Linked DNA regions of Oreochromis niloticus. The protein of the gene in region 3 binds, or shares a complex with, the protein of the main gene of each other region. Links are inferred from orthologs where the notes say so. Each region holds a gene or a part of one and is shown on either strand. Other genes may lie near its edges. The genes, in order: yeats2, mbip and dr1.

The links.
Region 1: dr1 (region 3) and yeats2 share a complex: the UniProt entries of both Homo sapiens proteins name them as parts of the ADA2A-containing complex. The link is inferred for Oreochromis niloticus from reciprocal best matches to the Homo sapiens genes DR1 and YEATS2.
Region 2: dr1 (region 3) and mbip share a complex: the UniProt entries of both Homo sapiens proteins name them as parts of the ADA2A-containing complex. The link is inferred for Oreochromis niloticus from reciprocal best matches to the Homo sapiens genes DR1 and MBIP.

What each region holds. Positions count from the first base shown.
Region 1 is NC_031982.2:14,309,264-14,316,863, forward strand, and holds the start of yeats2 (YEATS domain-containing protein 2), read right to left. Parts: upstream 3,042-7,600; 5' UTR 2,824-3,041; intron 2,757-2,823; exon of another isoform or gene 2,737-2,756; intron 2,429-2,736; 5' UTR 2,423-2,428; coding exon 2,323-2,422; intron 2,202-2,322; coding exon 2,104-2,201; intron 1,975-2,103; coding exon 1,882-1,974; intron 912-1,881; coding exon 678-911; intron 598-677; coding exon 485-597; intron 1-484. UniProt on the Homo sapiens protein: Chromatin reader component of the ATAC complex, a complex with histone acetyltransferase activity on histones H3 and H4. YEATS2 specifically recognizes and binds histone H3 crotonylated at 'Lys-27' (H3K27cr).
Region 2 is NC_031983.2:18,731,577-18,738,561, forward strand, and holds the start of mbip (MAP3K12-binding inhibitory protein 1), read right to left. Parts: upstream 3,111-6,985; 5' UTR 3,058-3,110; coding exon 2,938-3,057; intron 2,094-2,937; coding exon 1,977-2,093; intron 1,794-1,976; coding exon 1,587-1,793; intron 1,046-1,586; coding exon 949-1,045; intron 602-948; coding exon 536-601; intron 403-535; coding exon 244-402; intron 1-243. UniProt on the Homo sapiens protein: Inhibits the MAP3K12 activity to induce the activation of the JNK/SAPK pathway. Component of the ATAC complex, a complex with histone acetyltransferase activity on histones H3 and H4.
Region 3 is NC_031986.2:31,177,641-31,185,073, reverse strand, and holds the start of dr1 (protein Dr1), read left to right. Parts: upstream 1-4,427; 5' UTR 4,428-5,117; coding exon 5,118-5,337; intron 5,338-5,459; coding exon 5,460-5,623; intron 5,624-6,490; coding exon 6,491-6,637; 3' UTR 6,638-7,433. Other genes in the region: zgc:109982 (retinol dehydrogenase 8), read left to right, coding at 101-197, 971-1,132, 1,231-1,410, 1,487-1,580, 1,961-2,144, 2,229-2,459. UniProt on the Homo sapiens protein: The association of the DR1/DRAP1 heterodimer with TBP results in a functional repression of both activated and basal transcription of class II genes.

The DNA.
Region 1 (7,600 bases), on a different chromosome or scaffold from region 3:
ACTAAGAAGATTCTGACCTCTAATCTGAAAAGTCTGTTACAATGTAATTAGTCACCAAAGAAATAACATAAAAGAGAAATAACAATTTAACATAAGCCAGGGCCTGATCAACCCTGGCAGGGCCTCCTTGGATGAGGGTGTCTAGTGATAATGGCCGAAACACCCGATGAATCCAAGGTCCACTACTGACGATGTGTCCCAAATTTTTAATATGATAATCTAGATCAGATCTCTAATCCCTAAACCTAACCAAGGAAGGAAAAATGGCAGATTAGCCTGGGTAAAAGACCGAAACACCCTGTAAAGTTGAGGCACACAACAATGTGTCTAGCTGGTAAAATTTCTGGGCTGCCTTTCCTCGTAACAGCCATCCCTCAAGACTTTCTCCATTTGAACCAATGCATTATCAGGGATTGTAAGATCTAGTTCTTTTACTGAATCAGTCACAAAGAAATGACAGACATTTTTTAATTTGGTTACGTACTTGGATACATTTCCCACTACGATTGTCTTCTTCGCATAAAGTCTAGATGCATCGTCTCCAGTAGTGTGGTAGGTCACTCTCTGCTCTGCAGACGACGGCACACCGAATGTGTCCTACAGCAACAAAGGCAACGCTTTTAGTCACCGATCATCAAAAGGTCAAAAAACCCACAATTTCTGCCAGCTGAACTTACTTTGCCTGTGTTGCGTCCGGGTCTGCGCTCCTGCCTGCTGCTCTCCTCTCTCCAGGCTCCTTCTCCATTCCTCTCAGCACCGTCTCCTTGCTGTGAGAGAGACTCAGACTCTGATTGGACCAACGATGGAGTCTCGGAGCCCTGGTTGAGAGGGGAAGAAGAACGGGAAGGAGACTCCAGGAAGCGTCGGATGGCCGGATGGTTCAGCACAGCAGGGTCGCTCTTGGAGGTATGCTATGGAACATAGAAGAAATTTAGGTCAGTGTTTCTATACTGTACTACCACATAGAGCAGCAGACAGCTGGCTATTACTGTCTGCAATAACACCACTATAAAGTTTTATGCCATTTGTTTATGATCCATAGTGCATGGCACAATGAGACCAGTCGGGATATGTTCCTGTTAAGGAGCCAATTTAGTACCTAAAAAGGGATCTATTTCAACAACCTTGAACAAAAGGACAATATTTTTCAAAACATGCAAGGAAACTGTTCCAGCTGAAGGTGGAAGCTACAAATGTGTTTCACCACTTGAAGCAAATAAACACCATAAAGTACAACCAGGCTACACAGGAGGAGATACTAAGAGCTGCTGATGTGCAACCTAAATGTCAACAAAAGACTCCACCAAGCATCACTGATTCACACGCTAGATGCACTCCAGATGACAGGAAAAGCAAACAGGGGGGGATTAGATAAAAATGTGGATGCATCAGTACAAACACAGTGATTTAAGCAACTGGTGAAAAAGCTCTACATAAGAAACAACATCCCAGGTGGAAAAGAATATTAAGATTTACATAGTTAAGTTAGTTTAACAACTGTTCAGTTAAAGTGTTATTTTATATTTTTTACTTCCCAGGGGAAACAATAGCTAGGGCTACTGTTGTGTGTACATTTGACTTGCTGTGTACCGCTACTATTGCACTACAATGCTGATGCCGGCAACCTGTTTCACAAGATAAATACTTTAAATTACTAAGATTGCCAACAATGACTGCAGCTCATTAGAATAGCATAATACAAAATACCTTTAACTCACTACACCTATAAATGCTGCAACCTGCAAACATCAATAAAATGTTGTTTGGTATATTTTTTCCTGCGCTGTCAGAAATATTTTTCTTGCAAATTTTCTTCAAATATCATCATATAATTTTGAGGCTGTATCATCAAACTCTGTGTCCAAATGAATGGGAATTTACCTCTGAGAGCTTTGTCAGTCCAGCACTGGCATAGTAATTAGCTACTATGCATGCCCTGAGCTTGTCCATCATCCTCCTGGCTTCATTAAGACGCTGCAAAGCAAAGAAAAACAGTGAGCCGGCATGCTGAATATTACACTTAACTCCAAGTTATTGTCCATGTTAAGTTTTTATGCAGTAACAAGTAAAATACAGATTTAAAAGAAAGTATCATCTGAATACCTGACTTATCACATCTATCTCATGCTCTTTGTTCTTCATCTCCAAAGAAAATTGCTCCTTGATGATGGTTTCAATCTTCTGAACTGTTGCTTCTCGAGCTGGATAAAATAGGGAAGAGGGAATGAACATATCTACAAGACCAGGGCACAACTGATAGCTAATTTTGACCACAACAAGCAAAGCAAGTGTACTGGCTCAGGGTTCAGAGCATGAACTTACCACTATGTTCAGCCGCCTTGTTTCTCTTACTGTTTTGGACCAGAGAAACGTCCTCATAGTCGGGATCATTGCCCTCTATCTTCCTTTTAATTCCCGACATGGCTTCCTGTAAAGAAGGCTATAATTAGAAAACGTGTAGCTAATCACTTATATGCTGTGATGTACATGATTTGCTATGCACTTAGCACAGAATTAGCTGCATAGCAGGGAAGCTATAGATAATTGACAGCAATGCCCACAGCTAACCTCAGTACTGATTAGCCAAACAGGTATGCCAACATGAGTTAGCAGGCTGTCCACTACCTACCAAGCTATTTCAAACTGTCGACCAATTGTCTAAGATTCATTTAACAAGAATGCACATCGCATTTTAGTGTGTCTCACCACCGATATGATAAATAAATATACACATACCGTCCATACAGCCAACAGTTCTCTGACGTTAGCAACCGCTAACCTTGCTAATTTAGCTAACGTTAGCACACAGTTGTACATACATACCGGTTCAGGCTGTACAAAATGCAAATTTTCAGGAGTACTCTGTGATGTGGAGCAACGTTTCTTTGAAAGGCGTGTGTTTTTTTAATTCAACGTGAGCATATCCGTTGCGTTTTTAGTATACTCAGACCACACTCGTGTTTAGGGAATTGCTAAATCTCGAGCTCTACAAGTAAGCTAACTAAATAGTGGATAGTTAGCCTTGCAGTTTAGCCAAACAGCCACAAGGGACCGCTGTTCTACCAAGTTGATTGAAAACGAGGCGTGGAATGATAGGTATTGTCACCTTTCAGAAGATTGCTTCCCTGGAAAGGATGTTTTATTGTCGTGATCAACAGCGTAACCCGTCTTACAAGCCCTTAGTAAACTAACTACTCTGACAAGATATTCATAAACAGCGGTGAAGATGGCATGCATACCTGTCAAACTTCATTACAACCAGCCATCATGGTCTATTCTAAAGAACTTTACGGGGATTTTACTCCAGTGTTATCACTGCAGGAAGTTTTTTTTGTGTCTGATTCAGTGGAACTCTTTGGAGGTATTACATTACATTACAGAGTTGAGTAACCCCGTGTATGAGCATGCGATATTCTAACTATCATAGGTTACTATTAGTCTAACATGTTTAAGCTTGTAACCGCTGACAGGCTGCATGCCACGAATTAGAAGGCAAACAACACCAGACAAGAAGGGGATCAGTTCATCTTATTTAGCTTAAGCGGAGCTTCACACTTCATCAGACATCAGTTACACAGTAAACATGTGATTCTAAAGGCAATTAAACAGAAAACAGGTGTTGCTAGAAAGCCACTCCAAACAAACCTTTTCTATAACTTCTACACCTATGGGCACCTTTTCAGTGTTACACATTACTTTGCTGCTCTCTTGCAATGAATTGTCCTATCACGTTCACATTTCCTTTTAATGAAGCAGAGAAGAAGATCAAACAACATCCTGTTAAATTTCCTGTGGATCCGAAGTAAATACAGCGCCAGTATTGTCGATACCAACATGAAATTCGATACTGATACTTTAACCTCATGATTTAACCGCCATCAGTTGATCAATTTACATATTCTAAGTACATTAATCAAAACAACAAAACACTCCTTTCAGCTTTTCATGTATTTTGAAATGGGGATTTTTGGAGACCTGGACTTTTTTTTAAAATTATTATTAGTCCTTTATTGATCCAGGTCAAAATCTCACTTGAGATTAAAAATCTCATTTCCAAGAGAGACCTGGAGATGTGCACATGTGAGTGTGTAAATGTGCCTCTAGTTGCAGTATTTTCCAGTCAAGTTTTAATTAATATGGATGTCTCTTTAGCTCAGTGGGTGAGCAGGTGGGCTGAGAGCTGCAGCACTACTCCAACCTCTGGCCCTTTCCTGCCAGGGCCAAGAACCTAGCATTTTACTCAAACCAGATCAGGCCTGCAGCTGTACCACAGAGTTGGCATCCTCAGTAATTTATAGTAGCTGGCACTCAGCTGGATAACTGAGGTGACAGCATGCTGTCAGTGCCAAAAATCTTATAATCACAGCTGATTAATGTACTGTATAGCATTATCCTGTCTGAGAATGCATGTCCCTGATGAGCTCTTTGCATAAATCAGAACACAGATGTATGGGTAAGGCATGGCTTCAATTTTTCCCATAATGTTTGGTGTAAATGTAGCGAGATGGTAAGAATCTGTGAGAGGATTCTTTGTGGTTTTCATTAAACCAAAGCATAATATGGAGAATATAAATCACATGAGACTTAAATAAAAAGGGCCTGATAATAAAGCATGGGTTGCTCAATCCTACTTTAAAAAGTGCGGCTGCTTTTAAACACTGTCCCCTTGTTCAGCACAATGACTCATTAAAACATCACCAGCGTGATTGACTCATCCCTTGGTGAATACAGTGTCCACAGCTCTGTGGAGCAGATTGCTACAACTTGCAACAAAACCCAAATGGCGCATCTCTTCTTTTGTGACATCTTCATGGATATTTGTGGGACAATAGTTGTGGTTTCGATGAAATACATAAATCACTTTGTTTCCATTCGTTTTATGGCTGGTCTGTTGTGAAAACGGATGTGCTCACGATCGCTTGATTGAGAAAAAGCACAACTTCTCGGGGCACATTTATCGCATGCGTCACACTGACCACAAGAATCGCTTTTCATCTCAGCCTTCTGATTTCTGTAAAACTGAGTGAAAACTTTATATTTTGTTTGAGAAGGGAACATAAAAATCAGGATATCTTCTCTTGGAGGAGTTACCTCCACTGCTGGCATGAAGACGATCCTCAATGTAATGAACATGTTTGACAATTTACTTAGTGGCCACTTTGTCAGTTACACCTGTTCAGCTGCTCATTACCTAATGCAAATATCTAATCAGCCTAACATGGCAGCAATTCAATGCGTTTTGCCATGAATGAGCTGCTGAAGTTCAAGAAAGGAATAAGTATTTCAGAAACCGCTGATCTACTGAGATTTCCCCACACAGTCATCTCTGGTGTTTACAGAGAAAGGTCCAAAAAACAGAAAATATCCAGTGAGCGGCAGCTCTCTGAGCAAAAAGGCCTCGTCGATGTCAGAGGACAATGGCCATAAACCTTGAAGATGACGGGAAGGCAACAATAACTCAAATCATCACCTGTTAACAATCACAGGCTGCAGAAGAGCATCTCTGAATGCACAACACGCCCTATCTGGAAGTAGATGGGCTACAGCAGCAGAAGACCGCACCAGGTGACACTCCTGTCAGCTAAGAGCGAGACACTGAGGCTATCACAGCAGGAATTTGCATTAATGAGCATCTGAACAGGTGCATCACTGTTTTCTTGTAGACTTTCATTTGTTAACAATGATGAGTCACAGCAAAGCTTTGATACATTAAGAAAAACTTTATTGACGTTTCTCATAAACAACTCAACCATTACAATTCAACATACTGCATTTTACAAAAATTGAAAGCTTTTTTTTAAAAAACAAAGAGCACAAGAAAAGTGTTGTAAAAGTATCACACATCATGCACACAATAATAGCAGTGTATATCACAATTATCTGATGTAATTGCTCACTCGTTAATCTCTGGTTAAGGCACATAGGGCAGCACTTAAGGGGTTACATCTCTTGACATCAAGGCAAGGCACAGGTGGTGCTTTTCCAACAAGACTGACTTCAGGATTGTCTCAAATGTGGCTCTTATCTGTGTTAATATTTAACTCTGGTGAGCAACTTGTAACCCTCAGGTTTTTTGGGTGTAATCTGCTGCACGTCCTTTTTATGTTCTCAGCAACACGCGATCCCACAACTCACCACAACAAGCAAAAGATTTAAAAACAAAACAAAACAGTACACACACAAAAAAACAAAACGATGGATATTCTTATCAGAAGTCAATAATACATGAAAGACATTAATGAAAATCAATAAATCAGCACAACATGAGTTTGTGCCCTACTTAAGAGTAAATACTCAGTGAAATCACAGACGCACACACACTCAGATTCTCACTTTCTCACTCCCATGCTTCTGCCTTTCCGCTTTCCTGCCCCCCAACTCAACCCGTCGCTCCTCCTGACTTCTGCAAGCAGGTGAATCAGGAGGTGCTTCATTTTTCCACCTGTACTGCTCCTTAACCTGACCTCCATTTGGAGGAATGTGAAGAATGTTTATGTAAAAAAACCAACAACTTCCCCCTACATATTTTTGTTATCATACCTGACAGGTGAAGTATGACCTGAGCTGTTCTTAAAGGATATTACGTAATGGTGCTGAGTGACAAATTCAAAAATCCCTAAAATTTGAAAACTGAAACTGTTATGACGACACTGCCTCCTTTGCAGCAATATTTGCTGGTTTTTTCAGCGCATCAAAGCGTAGGAGGCAGTGGCCAACAGGAGGAGCTGACAGGCCCTTTTCACTCTCTTTTCTATACGTCACATGAAAGCAAAGAACATTTACTGATACAGTAAAAAAGGAAATCATTGTCATAAAGTTCTACATTTAACAGGATTCTGTCAAAGTGCACAATTGGGGCTCTCAAGAGAACATATTATGCAAATAAGGATACAAAGATACATTTAAATACAAGTTAAAGAAAACAAAGTTAACTGTATATTCACAGCAATCTATCAACACCAATTGTATTAAAAGGTGACTTTTACTGACCAAGAGCCACACCATCCAAAATCCTCATCATTCAACTCTTAAACCCGCCAACGGTGTGAGGGCCAGCACTGCCGCACCCGCCACCTTAGCTGACCATTCAACACACATACACGCATACACACCTGGAGGTATCTATGGTTACCCCGAGTTACATCTTTACATGTAAGTGTACAGGTGAGATGTGGCAGCATTGCACGACAACTCTGTGATAAACCTGCGTGGCTCCCAAAGCATCCAGACCAAGCAGTAAAAGTCACACAATATCCTTACACACACACAGACACACACACACACACACACACACACAGACACACACACACACACCAGACATGCACACCATTTATTCAGAGCAGTCTACAAGTTTGATCCACAAAAGGCTTCACATCCACAAAACCACCCCACAAGCCCAGTACACCGATGGATTAACGTCGACCTAACTACTTATCATACAATAAACATCCAATTATAAAAAAATAGGCACGGATAAATATAACTTACCAAAAAAAGGCAATAATGAGTGAAATAATAATAATTAAAAAGGAGCAAAATATACAGCTTAGAAGGCATTAGCAAGGCTGACTGTAAAAAGTGAGGTGATGACACAGGTGGA
Region 2 (6,985 bases), on a different chromosome or scaffold from region 3:
GTAAAACACTTGTTGAACAGTTTGAAAATTTATTATTGCACAAGACTTGTGGGAGCAAACAAAGAATGACTGATAACAGCAGATAAACCAAATAATAGATCACTGTATAAATAAAGGCTTACTATAAGTAAAAAATTCAGTGCCAATAAAAGGTATCATTTAATTTCTCAGTTAAATATAATGTATAATGTTATATACAAGACAAAAATAATTTGAGCCTTACAATAACTTCCTGTCTCTCACCTGCTGGAAGTTTGAGGTGAGCCTCGATGTTGTTGAGTCGTTCCTCTATGGCTACATTTCCACAATCTCTCATCAGCGGCCCCCTCTGTTTATCCCCAGCCTCTGCTTGGTCTCCCCCACTACGGGTCTGGGGTCCGTAAGTGTTTACTACTCGTGTGACTGCCCAGCCAAGAAACAAACACAGAAGATACAACTCAGTCCTAAACAGATTCTAGTTAACAACATGTTTTAGTTTAATTACACAAATGATAGTTTAAAAATTAAGCTGTTAAGAATTGTGACATTTTCTTACCTTTTACGTGGCTTTTAAAACCCGGGTAAGGAGTGAATACTGCATCTGTTCTGGCACAGCTGTTTTCTACAGACGATCACATTTAATATAAATTGCAATTAGAATTACCAAATGCAATTAAACATGATTACCAAAAGCTGTATATGTATATCACACCTGAATAACAACTACTCCTGATTTCTGTTACTGGTGTCTCACACAGGCTTTGAATTTAAAAAAGGTTCTTCTGTCTCGTGTTTTTCTGGACTAAGCGGGTTGTGTTTTGAGGCCGAGTGTGTTAGCTACTTCAGCCCCACTCTTGGAGCAGTTCAGCCTGACCTCTCGCCTGTGGAAATCAGCTCTCTCCCAAACATTGGCAATCTGTGTGCAGGCACCCTCTCCACCCTGCCCCCCCACCTCTCTCCCATTCTCACCCTGATTGCAGTCGATCACGTTGCAAAACTCGCGTACATTGTTTTCATTGATCTCCATCTGCTTGCGTTCCATAAATGCAGATATTCTTCGCTCAATCTAGGGTTACAATGAAGACAACATAATAAGATACAATGGATTGATGAGGTGGCAAGAATGCTATGTTTTTGACTATTTAATGATAATGATGTGGGACAAATAGGGTGCGGCAATTTACATTTCAGAAAATTCCAGGTAGCCAAAAAAGTTGAACTGCTTGCCATCATCACATGATGGAATATGAATACTGTTTGCTTGGCTACCAAAATAAATGCACAACAGAATGGGGCCTCTTGTCCTTCATCCACATGCAATCTCAGAGTAATGAGCATCCACTTCATAATCCATCAAGGACCTGGCCCTCTCTCAAAACCCTCCAGCAATGTGGTCTGTTCTACCCCACCGCAGCACTAAAGGACCCCTTATTCTCAACCGAACTCAGCTTATCAGGTCTCCATCAAGCATTTGCTTTGCTGCGGCACGTCATGTGCACATCCTCTGGAGCAATTACTTATGATTATTCATTTGCTTGACAGAGTGTAAAGAGGGCTCTAAAATTTCACTGCCAGAACAGCTGACAGATCTGCTGACAGCGACCAACCTCTGACTTCCCAGCTCGGATCTGAACCATGACGTCATCAGCCGCCGCCTTGCTCTCTGTAGCCCCGGAGCTGTGCGGATGGTGCTCAGACTGCGTGGCTGTCTGTGCGCTGCTTGAAGATGAGGTGACAGCATCTTCTGATGTGTTCTTGAAAGAGGATGCATCAGCCTCAGCATCCAACAACACCTTTAGGCTTTCTGAAACAGCCTAAATAAAGAGCACGTCAGAAAGAAGAATTAGATGTAATTATTTAAAGCTCCCAAGAATAATCGAAAATTCAAAATTTTAAATTGTTAATTCTAATCTACTTTTTTTCCCTTGCAATGATAACACAATAAAAAGCTGCATAATAATCTATGTCAGCTCTTAAAATTCCTCTAATGTTTTTACCTGTAATTTAGCGATATGTCCTTGTAATGAGCTGTAAACATGAGCAGGTGGAGATGATTGAAGATTCACAGCGCTGGGGTTGACATCTATTTTCAAAGCAGCATCCCCAAATTTCAGCTTAATTTCAGGACAGACAAAGTGTGGATGTTACTGTGAATCAGCATTTAACATACAATTGCATGCTAGCAGGACAATATATACATTTGTCTAATATATGCAAGTTACAATTGATTGATGTGAAAATACATAAATTATTTTTGATAATTAACTGGGCAACTGATTTGTTACTGTTCAAGAAAAAGCATTTGGTGGTATCAGCTTCAATTTAATGTAGAATAAAGGATTATTTTCCCCTTGTTTTCAGCTGTTTTTTGTCACTGTAAAATATATATATTGGCTTTGCAGTGGTGGTCAATAAATACATAATTAAAAATAAGGTTACCCCAGACTTAGGAAAATAATGAAGTTAGATTCATAAAGCGAGTGAAAGGCGATGCTTTTATTTTATCCACTGCATATTTTATTTGTGCTTTACCACACAAAAACAGGGCTTGAGATCATTTACTGCATGTATGGGATAAAGAGGTTTATTTAGATGTGTATTCAATCCAATACGAGATGCAAAAAAAAAGCACGGCAACAGGGATAATGACATGAAACTTTGCTGTTACTGATGAAACAGAATGCCTAGTTAAGCCCAGTCAAGACACAAGCTCGATCTTATATCTTAAATTACTTTCAAAACAACACTGAACCATTTAAAGCACAGTTACTTTGCAACAACCTGCTTGTCAAAAACAGCACCAGAGCGCTGTGTGAGTGACAATGAATGAACAGTGTGGGTCCGCTAAGCAGCCCTGCTAACACCACATTGCTAAAAACATTAGCATGCAGCCAGCCAACACCCCGGACTGAAAGGAGCGATGTCCGAAACAAGGCAGCTTAAACAATCCAAACAAACCTCTTCCCCGAAGTCTGCTAGCAGTTGCAGTAACGAATCCATACAGTCTGTATAGCTGGACATTTTACTGGAGTCACTGGGAGGAGCATGATTTCTACTTAGCTTCATTGCCTCCGCCATTGCTGTTCGACAAGCCGAAGAATACTGTGCGCTGATTGGTTCGAGTGCAGGTTCCTGCGTGTGCGCGCTTAACGAAGTCGAGGCTCCATACACGCATGCGTACACGCACACAACCGTAGTTGTGAGAATATTAATATTACTGCGAAAATTACTAGTAATGATAAATGCTTAAATTAAATTCACTAATTTTACTGGGTTGTATTGTGCAAGTATTTCTGAAAGCTTTAAGGCATTTCTCTTTTTCAGTCTTTTAACAGATTGAAAGGAAAATTGTTTACATAATTTTTAAAGTCAAGGATCAACTTTTTAAAAACTGCAATTACAAATACATTCTAAAAATATAACAGGACGTCAGGGGAACAGAAAGCTCATATATATATATATATATATATATATATATATATATATATATATATATATATATAGATATATAGATATATATATATATAGATATATATATATATATATATAGATATATATAAGTATATATAAGTTTTCTGTAGATATAGATATTAGATACTTGATACTTGATATGATCAGACTCCATGTTAGCAAATCGAAAAAGAACCCAAATAGAGAAGCACAAAAAACAAATAAAGTTATAAAATGTGAAATTTAAAAATCTTTCAACTGTTCTTCGACACAGGGTGGTTAAGAGCATCTATATATAGAAAAACTGATTATATAAAACTTTGAAAAACCTGTTTTACAGCTTTATTTCCAAACATATCATGCACATTTCATCTTTTACCCAACTATTTCTACTTCTCTTCAATCTGTTCCCATAAAATCCAAACCAAATATGCTTATTAATGACTATCATCAACTATAATAGCCCTCTTCATGCATTAGTGACCCTGTGGTTTTATACAGTAATCTATTAGCAGTCAAGCAACATTTTATTATTGCCTCTAGTCAAGTTATTAAGCTAATGTTTTAACGTCATACACTGGTAGACAGTTCTACGAACAATGAAATATTATTTTAATATTAACAAAATAATTTTATGACTTGTATTCTCTACCTGAAAACAAGCCTGTAAGTAGTGCCACGTCTGGAACATATTATTAAATGCCCAAAGATGTCCAGTCTCTGAACTTTCTCTTTTAATGCCTTTTAAAGCATGTTTAAAGTCATTTTATTCTCTGTCGTCTTATGGCATGTTTATCTGTTTAGCAGCATAACTGCTGAATATTGTTCTAATTTAATTTTTACTTTATGTTTAGAATGTCAATGCTTGTATATTTATATGATCCACAATTTTATTACTTTTAGTTTAAAACATTGTACTATATAAAATTTTATATATATATATATATATGTATGTATGTATTAGGCATGGCTCCCTGGAAACTGAACTCACTCAAATGTGCCGTTAACTGTATTCTCAGTCACTTACTTTTCAAACAGGCGAAAGAATGGTCACTCAATTATAAAGATATTGTCCCTCTGACCGCAGTGGACTGTGCAGCAGGGCATTGGGATGGGAACCTGGTTACAATGGCGTATTTTTCTGTGTTGAGTGACTGTGGGAAAATCTCCCTCCTCTATTCAGACATTTTTCCCTTCTTTTCATATAATGAGGAGAGAGACTGATGAAGGAAACAACAGAAAAAGAACAATTACAGGCAAAGAGAAGGCACAACCACTCAGAACTCAATAATGCTCTTTAGGAGGGTTAATCATTTTAGGAAGGGGTCTGAAGACAAGCCTTTTTACTTTAATTCATCTCTGGGGTGATATTTTTCCCCCCAAAACAGGAAGGAACTGTAACACTTGACATGGTTTGACATGCTGAGCTATTGCTGAATGTTCCCACACAGCAAGGCGCTCAGAAATTAAAAAACTGCTCATTTAATTTGGCTGGCTTCAGACCAAAGAGCTGTTTATTCTTCTAACGGGGGAAGAGTTGTGATTTAAGGCATTTATATGAGCCATTAAAAAAACATGATAACCTACTTGAGCGCAATGTTTTTACATTTAGCTATATTTACATTTCGAAACCAAAACTAAGTATTACAGATATTCACAATCTTTAAATGTCACCTTTTCCTCTAATATGTTCCTACATCTTAAAAACAGTTTTAGAGGATTAAAAAACCAGTGGCTGAAGAAATATTTACAAGTGCTACAGCCTAAAAATATTCCTTTACAAGTAAAAGTTCATGCACAACGGCCTTAGTCATTGTTGGCAGGGTCATTATTACTGATGCATCAACATAAGTGGTACTTTATTTATCTAATTGGCTGAAAGTAAGGTACGGCAAACTGATTTAAATGCGCTAACTTGTTTCCAGAGAATGATTTGACCTCTGGTTTTTCTTGCTGTTATTAAATCATATTAATTGTAGATTCCTAACATAAAATGACAATTTATAACCATTTATTAAGTATTTATGCACTGCTTGTAAATGCTGAAGCCATTATAGAGAATTGCTGAAAAGTGTTACAAGGATACCTTAATGGTTCTTTGTGCAACTTAATAAGATTTTTTTTTCTTTGCTTTACAAGAATGTGTTCTTGGCAGGCAGAGGGAATTTGTGCTATACAGGAAATAAGGTGGTCCTAGTGTTAGAGGGAAGTGAGTGAAGAGGGATTGTTGCTGCCTCTTGCCTCAGTCACATCAGCCACCTGCAGGAAAGTAAAAAGGTCCGCTTTTGAGCCTGTCTGCTGCACGGTGGCAGATTATGTTGACAGAGCATGAGACGGAGTAAAGGCCAGACATGAGGATCAGGAGAAAGAGGCAGCACAATGTAAAGAGCGAAGTGGATTGCAGTAAGAAGGTTTTGTCTCATTTCCCCCAGAGAGGAATAATTAAAAGTATTCCTTTCTTGTGAGTTTGGGACCAAGCTTCCCACAGATCAGCTCATTACGTACTGCTTTTAAGTAATAAAAAGATATATGTGGAAACAAATGTAAATTTTGCAGAAAAATGTTCATTAAAAAGACTGTAGTCATGGTGCTGGATTTGAGAGTTATTTCAGTTGTTTTTTACAGATTTTTTCTGAACTGCTTTGGCACATTTCTTACAACACTTTTGGAATGATGCATGCAAAAATAAGCAGTATTTACATGTGCATGAACTGTAAGGGTAAAATGTTTATGTACTGTTGTCTTCTATATCCACTCATATAGTGGAAATCACTGGGCTGTCACTTTTGTCCACTTGGCCACAGATTCCCACTGAACTCCTAATCCTCCCTATGAAGTGTAACAGTGGAAGAACTGCTTTGTTTGGCAGACCCATCAACTGCAGTTCTCTTTCTATTTGCTGTTGTTTCTCCTTGTTACACTGCCACACATCCTCGCTTGTCTCCCTATACTAAGGCTGTTGTCCCAGAAAAAGGTTTATTTGGGCTCCTACTAGTTCATAAACTGTTGTAAATCTATATCTATATACAAGCATTTATACATATATAATTAGATGGACTTTTATATGTGATGGCTTATACAAAGAAATAAAGCTATTATATTTTGGAGAATAAAACTATTCAGTTGATAGAAACACTTTTTTTTTAACACAAATACATTTTTTTATTTTTTACACTAGACAACTAGTCATTAGACTGTGCTTTTAGGTGCTTAGGAGTCCTCCCACCATCCAAAGCTGTACTTGTTAATTGGTGTGGATGTAAGAGCGTGTGGTTGTCTGTCTCTCTGCTGAACCCTGTGATGGAGTGGTGACCTGCCGAGGATGTTCCCTGCCTCTATTCCCACTCACCCCAGGACCTTGAGTTGTGTGATACCAACACGTTCGGGCTGGTGATACAGTATCAATTATTGACAATAGTACCATGTTTATCGGGTTTAAGTTTATGATTAGCAACATAGTTTAGGATGTAAGTCAATTACCATTACTTAACTGGCAACAAAAATAGTAAATTAGTAAATTCAAAGTTTTTATTTGTATAGCACCTTTCAAGATAAA
Region 3 (7,433 bases):
GGGCTTTAAAAGTGCCCGTATGTGGCCTGCTGCCTCTCCTCTTTTGTTCTCGTTTTATTCTCTACTGCTGGAGCTGCAAGAAAAGCACTAACCAGGCACGATGAACCAGAAGGTGGTACTCATCACCGGCTGCTCCTCTGGGATTGGCCTCGCATTGGCTGTCCATATTGCAAAAGATGAGAAGAAGAGGTTCATGGGTAACTTTTTAACAGACTTTTTCTAAGATAGCTGGGGTTGTTGACTACATTTCAAAACCCTGTGTCAGGAGGGATCAAAGGGAATCAAAGAAAAATATAATGTATTCAAATTGTGATTGAAAATGCTTCAAATGACAGAAATTAGAGGAAATATGTGGAAAAAAAAACTAGCACATAAGGGTGTAAAACATAATGGTGTTTTTCTTTTTGAATTTTTTGGAAGTGTGTAGGATGTTTTAAAATATTACCATCTCACATGTACTTGAACTTTACTTGAACTTTACATGGCTGCTGTGTCTGGCTCAATAATTTCTACTATGAACACTTTGCAGACTATTCATTAAAGTTAACTGTGTAAATGTAATACCATTTTGAAACCATTCACTAGAAAGATATTTACTTGATCAAATTCACATTATTTACATTATCAATATGTAATGGGTTTCTTCTACAAACAAAATATTGGTAAGTTCTTTTTTTAAAACTCTGGTTCCAGAAACAATCCACACAGCTCACCATCAACAGTTTTTATCTTAAACGTGTTTTATGGAAGAAATGGTCCTCCTGGTCTGTGGATTACCCTGAGTAACTATTAACCATGTCGTACTGATGTAACAGGCAACACCTGAAAGATGAAATCTGAGAAAAATCCACATTTGCCGCTCCTGGTGGAGATAAATTGTGATAGTTTCTCAAATGTAATGTAAAATTTTAATTTCAGTTCTGAATTCAATAAAAACACAACAGCTTCAGACGAGTTTTTGTTGTTGTAGTCTATGCCACCATGAGAAATCTGAGTAAGGCTGAGCCTCTGGTTGAGGCAGCAGGTCGGACCCTGGGCCGGACCTTGGAGATCAAGCAGCTGGACGTATGTGACGAGGCTTCCATCAAAGCCTGCGTGGACAGTCTGCCTGAGCGCAGGGTAGACATTCTCAGTAAGCTCCTACCATTTGCTTCAAAACAGTATTAATTTGGCTTTTCGACTGTCTATGGAAATTTAAATGATATGTGTGTATGTGACCTTATTTCACAGTAAGTAATGCTGGGATGGGTCTGATTGGACCCATTGAGTGTCAGTCTATTGAAGAGATGAAAAGTGTCATGGACACCAACTTCTTTGGACTTGTGCGATTACTAAAGGAAATCCTGCCCGACATGAAGAGAAGGAAAAAAGGTCATATTGTGGTCATTAGCAGCGTCATGGGGATTCAGGGTAAGAGCTGCTTCACCTGCTGATCACGAGAACATTTTTTAAGACAGTTGCTTCACAACTTCTTTCCCTGTTTCAGGGATTTTATTCAACGATATCTACGCAGCATCTAAGTTTGCATTGGAAGGCTTTTGTGAAAGCCTAGCGATACAAGCCCTGAGGTTTGGTCTGAAGTAAGATACTAAGTCTATAATGTTTTATTCCTGTTCATCTTTTACTGGCATTTTTGTGAGAAAAAAAGTGCAACAAAAACTAAACTACCTGAAAACCAGCCCTTGCATCTGGTATATTTGTGTAGTCATATTGCACAACAACACCTACCCCTTTCTGCACCATTAGGAGGAAAATATGCAAACCACAGCACACTGTGATGTTTAGGCATGTTCTAACACAGTATCAAATGGTAACTGAATTTTAGTGTGGTTTCTAAAGTTTCCTGTATAATGAAAGTAATATTTAATTACCTTTCACAGTTGTGCACTGAACTCAAGTTTCCTATTTCAAGAGATTTTTCCATGTTTTTTAATGTTCTTCTCTTCTATTTCTTCCTCAGCATCAGCCTGATAGAGCCAGGTCCAGTGATAACCGAGTTTGAGCGTAAGGTTTATGACGAGGGCCTAAAGATTGATCTCAGCAAAGCAGACAAAGTGACTGCTGACATGTTCACAAATGTCTACTTAAAGAACTACAAACAGATCTTTGAAACCCTCGGACAGACTCCTGAGGACGTGGCAGAGGTATCGTTCAGCAAATACTTCACCTTTAACCTTTAATGCACTACAAGAGCAATAAACTATATTATGAATGATCTTTCTTCGTAGCACACCCTCAAGATCATCATCATGGACAATCCCCCTTTCCGGCACCAGACAAACACTCTCTATACCCCTATGACCACACTCAAGTACGCTGACCCAAATGGTGACCTCCCGATTGAAACGTTTTACAAAATGGTGTTTGAACACGACAAGGTCTTCACTGCCAGCCTGAACTTCATCAAGCTTTTGCACTGGAGAAGCCGAAAGAGTTTTAAGTTAGAGAAGAGCAACTGAATCATGTCATATCTTTGTTATTTTTGTGACATGGGCATATTTGGCTGTTATTGTCTAGCAGTGTTACCTCCCTGAAATAAATAAAGCTATGAAATGCCATGACAATGCAGTCTCTTTTCATACGTGGCAGTAAGCTCCTGCAGGTTTAAACCACACCCTGGTGCATTCAAGTAGCATAACTGTCTTAAGTTGACAAGCCCTTGAGCCTTGTGTCATATGGGAAGCAAGCAAAGTTATACGAACAGCAAGATTAAATCAAAGTAAATCAGGTAGTTCGGAGTTATAACGACTAATTTATGAACTTTTTTTGTCTTTTTAAAAGCATTGTTTTGTTAATGGGTTCTGTTACAGTGTCAGAAGATTATGTATATCTTACATAATCTTAACAAATTTCCCACGTGTGTGACTAATAAAGGTTATCTTATCTTATCTTAAGCTGCTGGATTACATAACATAATTACTCATGGCTTAATCTGGAATATAGCCGTTGAATTCTGAGTCTCGCACCACGTGGACTTTAATGTGAGAAAACTTTTATGTATTTATTTTTTGTATGATATTGACAGGATTTGGTCAGAAAATTAAGCATGTTAGAATATAAAAAGAAAATAACAAAATAAAAGCTGGTATTCTCTTGGTGGACACTAGATGGCAGTAAACAATTATTAGGAAATTCAAACACCTGTGAAACCAGTCTGGATGCTGCTGAATATTGATAAGTCTAAAAATAAAATTGCAGAAACAGGGCCATAAATTACTGTGGCTCGAATTTGTTTCAGCAAGATCTGTGCTTGTGCTGAGAAAATATACATAAAAAAGCATTAGTAGACATGTTATCAGACGTACCCTTCCGGGGAGGAGATCACAGGGTTAAAAGAGATGCTCTTGATAATTATGTTTACCATAGGAGGGTAACATACAGTACTGTACAAAGATACTGGTTCACTACACGAACCAGTGTTGTGTAAACACATAACAGACAGCTTAGCAAAGAACCCATTCTAAACTGTGTCTTTAGGCACTTTGTTACTAGCAGCCTGTCGCCAAAGCACATAATTTGTTTCCATTTCTTTAGCTGAATCTACAGAAAATACCAAAGATAACACAATTTGACAGACATAAAATAGTGTTGTTGCACCAACAATGTGATTCCCAGTGAACTATTGGGCGAAAACCTGGCATATTGCGGCACTGTGTGCAGTTTTTTTTGGTGATAAAACTGGACAAGTGGAGGACAAAAGAAGAAGTGGAAGGTCTGAAAAACTGTGTACAGCAGATGAAAAGTCTCTGGAAGTCATGTCCTTAAGTAATACCGTCCAAAAAAATCCAGCAAAGACTATCAGTTGATCCATGAACAGAAGCTTCATTAGAAAAGGTTTCACTGGAACTATGGAAACAGGGAGAAATGGCTGAACTGGACTGAAGATCAGTGGAAACAGGTCTTATGGAGTGGTGAATATGAAAAACAAACAAAAAAAGTGAAATTCAGGAGATAGGTACAACCATGAGTGTCTAGAGTAATCTGTAAACTATAGTGAAGACTCTGTCATGATTTGAGTTTGCCTTTCAGCCAGTGGTGTACAGGATTTCTTCAAAATTGATAGAATTAGAGTCGGATTTTGATCTTCCACACAATACCATCTGGAAAGCACCTGATTGGCAACAGCTTCATATTTTAAAGATAATGTAGTAAAAACATACCTGGATATAAAACTCACACAATCATCTATGGATTGGCCTCATCTTTTATATTTTGGAGGCGAGGTGCATATGGGATGTGGTCCTCTGACTGTATACGAAATATTACTGTAGCTACCATCAAAATATATAGATAATGTAAGAAAGTACATATTCAGTTTATTTGTTTTGTTTTGTTTTTCCAGCATGTGTATTAATTCCCCAAGCATATGTTTTAAGGGCAGTAATGGACGACAACTACCACAAGGCCACAGCAATGCGACTCGAGGGGATTCAGACAGGCTTTAAACACCAAAGAAGAAGAATGGTATCCGGCTCTTTGTTTGACGTTGCATCCGGACTGAATCAAGCTAATGTTGCCCACATTTCAAACGTATAAAAGAATCGATACCATGTTTCTGCTTATCTGAAATGTCCGAATCATCTCTCGATGCAGGATAGAACAACAGGCAGTGTTGTGGCACGTGTGTCCTGTTTCTGTGTCTATGCAGCTAACTGTTTAGCCATGCGGGAGGCACTTCATTGTTAGCTTAGCGGTAGCCATGCTCTCCGCTTTCACTTGTTTTTTGCGTTGCGGCTTTCTGGCGACAGGGACCACAGCTACTAGCTAGCCTGGCTGCTAGCTAGCTAAGCACTTTTCACACAGTATTAACCTTTTGTCTTCTTTTTTGGTGTATGTGCTTTAGCGTTTTCTAACGGTTTCTTTTCTACCACATTCCTTACAAAGGCTCTACTCTGCGGAAATTGTTTCAACTATTAGCTAATAGCTAAGCTAGCCGGCTAACTTGGAGGAAGCGTCACTCTCCTACATGACATTTAACTCTGTGTTGACGTTGTCTTGACCTGACCGTTATATTTTAATTCTGCCGACACGAGAAGGCCTCCTAACAGTTTCCTTCCGTCGAGAATCGGAGTTGCTGTTTCTTTTTTTTTCTGGTTTCTGTCCCGTCGTCTGCCACGATGGCTTCTTCCTCTGGAAATGACGATGACCTCACCATCCCGAGAGCAGCTATCAACAAAATGATTAAAGAAACTCTCCCCAACGTACGGGTGGCCAACGATGCCAGGGAGCTTGTAGTTAACTGCTGCACAGAGTTCATCCACCTCATATCCTCAGAAGCCAATGAAATATGCAACAAGTCGGACAAGAAAACCATTTCCCCAGAGCATGTCATCAACGGTGAGTCCAGCTTTGTTTTCCCTGTACCCTGAAAGGTGTGTGTATGTGTGCAGCACCATGTAATGAGCCTTAAACCACAGAGAGTAATTAAAACACTTTCGCCTCTTGCTTTCGCACCGCAGCGCTCGAGAGCCTCGGTTTCGCATCGTACATCACGGAGGTGAAAGACGTGCTGCAGGAGTGTAAAACTGTTGCCCTGAAGAGGAGGAAGGCCAGTTCGAGACTGGAGAACCTGGGCATCCCTGAAGAAGAGCTCCTTAGGCAACAACAGGAATTGTTTGCAAAGGTATGATTTTGAGAGAGGCGTCACAAGAAACAGTAGCTCAGGGAACTAACTTCCATACCAGGTCATTTAGTCTAACCCTGAGGGGCCTTTTAATAATTAAGTTTAAAAAACAGCAAAGACATAATAAAATGATAAAAAGCAACTGTTAGAAAATGTCCAGGTGCTTCCAACAGCCACTGAACTGAGCATAGCTGTTTTTGAAGTTATGACTAGAGGAAATCATTTTGTGCTGCTTTCAGAGCCCACGAAAACAGTGGAATTGAAAATGTGAATTTATTGCTGCCAAACTGTGTTCTAAAAATAATTAAACAAACCAGCACAAATATGATTGCTCAGAAATGTTATAATAAACAAAATTATTGGACCAGAACTTCACATTATGTAGGGATCTGAGTTTTGATGAAGTAGGTCTTTTGCGATTGGTCTTTTGTTTTGTGCTAAGTTCCTTAGGAAATGAGTAAGCCTTTAGAGAGAAATACAACAAAGCCATGTCCGATTTAAATCATCTGTGTGCTGAGTGGCTGTTACACATAACCACTTGAGGCACATTATTTGCACTATACTGTTCACTAATGCATGACAGATCCATTTAGTTAACTTTCAGCAGTACTTTGCTAATTATTAACTCAATCCCTTTCTAGAAACAAGTATAAGCAAGTATAATTCAGCGATAGTAATATGTTGCAGACACTTTATTTTAATTTTTTTTTCCAATGTTCAGTGCTTATAATGACATACCACGAAAATGTCTTAAAATATTCAAGTTCTAATTAAACATCAGATATCAACCACCATGAGCTTCTCTAATTGCCTGATATAATCCTCATTCACCTTCGCCTGTCTCGTGTCTCTCTTGTGTTTGTGAAGGCGCGACAGCAGCAGGCAGAACTCGCTCAGCAGGAATGGTTGCAGATGCAGCAGGCCGCCCAGCAGGCACAGATGGCGGCAGCATCTGCCACTGCTGCCCAACAGGCCGGTTCCTCTCAGGATGAAGACGAAGAGGATGACATATGATCCCAGGATACTGTTCAGCTTGTCCGAATCCCTTCCTGGGACAGTGTTGGCGGGCAAACCTCCCAGTGCTGTTGTTGACAGAGACTTGAGATGTGTTTGACCGCTGGTGCACATCAGTGACACAAGGAAAATGCACATTTGGTATTGACAGTGGAGATGGAGTTGGAGGGGAATGTCAACATGATGATACCAGAACCTGAAATTTGTTTGGTTTGAAAAGCTGTTAATAAAATTTTGATTATCCCCCTGCCCCCCCCCCCCCCCTTTTTTAAGTTACTTCCGTTTAATTAAGTCTTGATGTTATGTTGTGAGTAATTTGTAGATTTCTGGATGTACTGTGGATGCACTGAAGGCACATTTCACTGAAGTTTGGTGATGGTGCAGCAGGTGTTTGCTCTTTCAGGTACTGCACCAACTAGCTTGTTTATGTCAACCATAGTGCTAGATAACAATCAGTGGTGTAGGCGAATCGCTCCTGACGACTCCAGAGCATCTAATTCCTCTTCTCTTGGTCTTTGCCATTTTGTCAAAAAGGGTTTTCTTTACCCCTCTGTGGAGTTATTTGTTCGACAGTGGAAGGATTGAGGGGCCGTGAATATTGAAATTGTACTATTAAATAATGAAAAATACATTTTTGTTTTAGCTTATTCAGAAACGTTATGTTGTTTCCTTTCTACCTTGAACTACACACAGTATTGGTTCTTAGCTGCACCTTTGAAAAACTGAATATTTTTGTCTGATAGAACCAAAGATAGACTAACAGCCCAGAGTTCGTGTTTTGTTTTCTTTTTAAGGT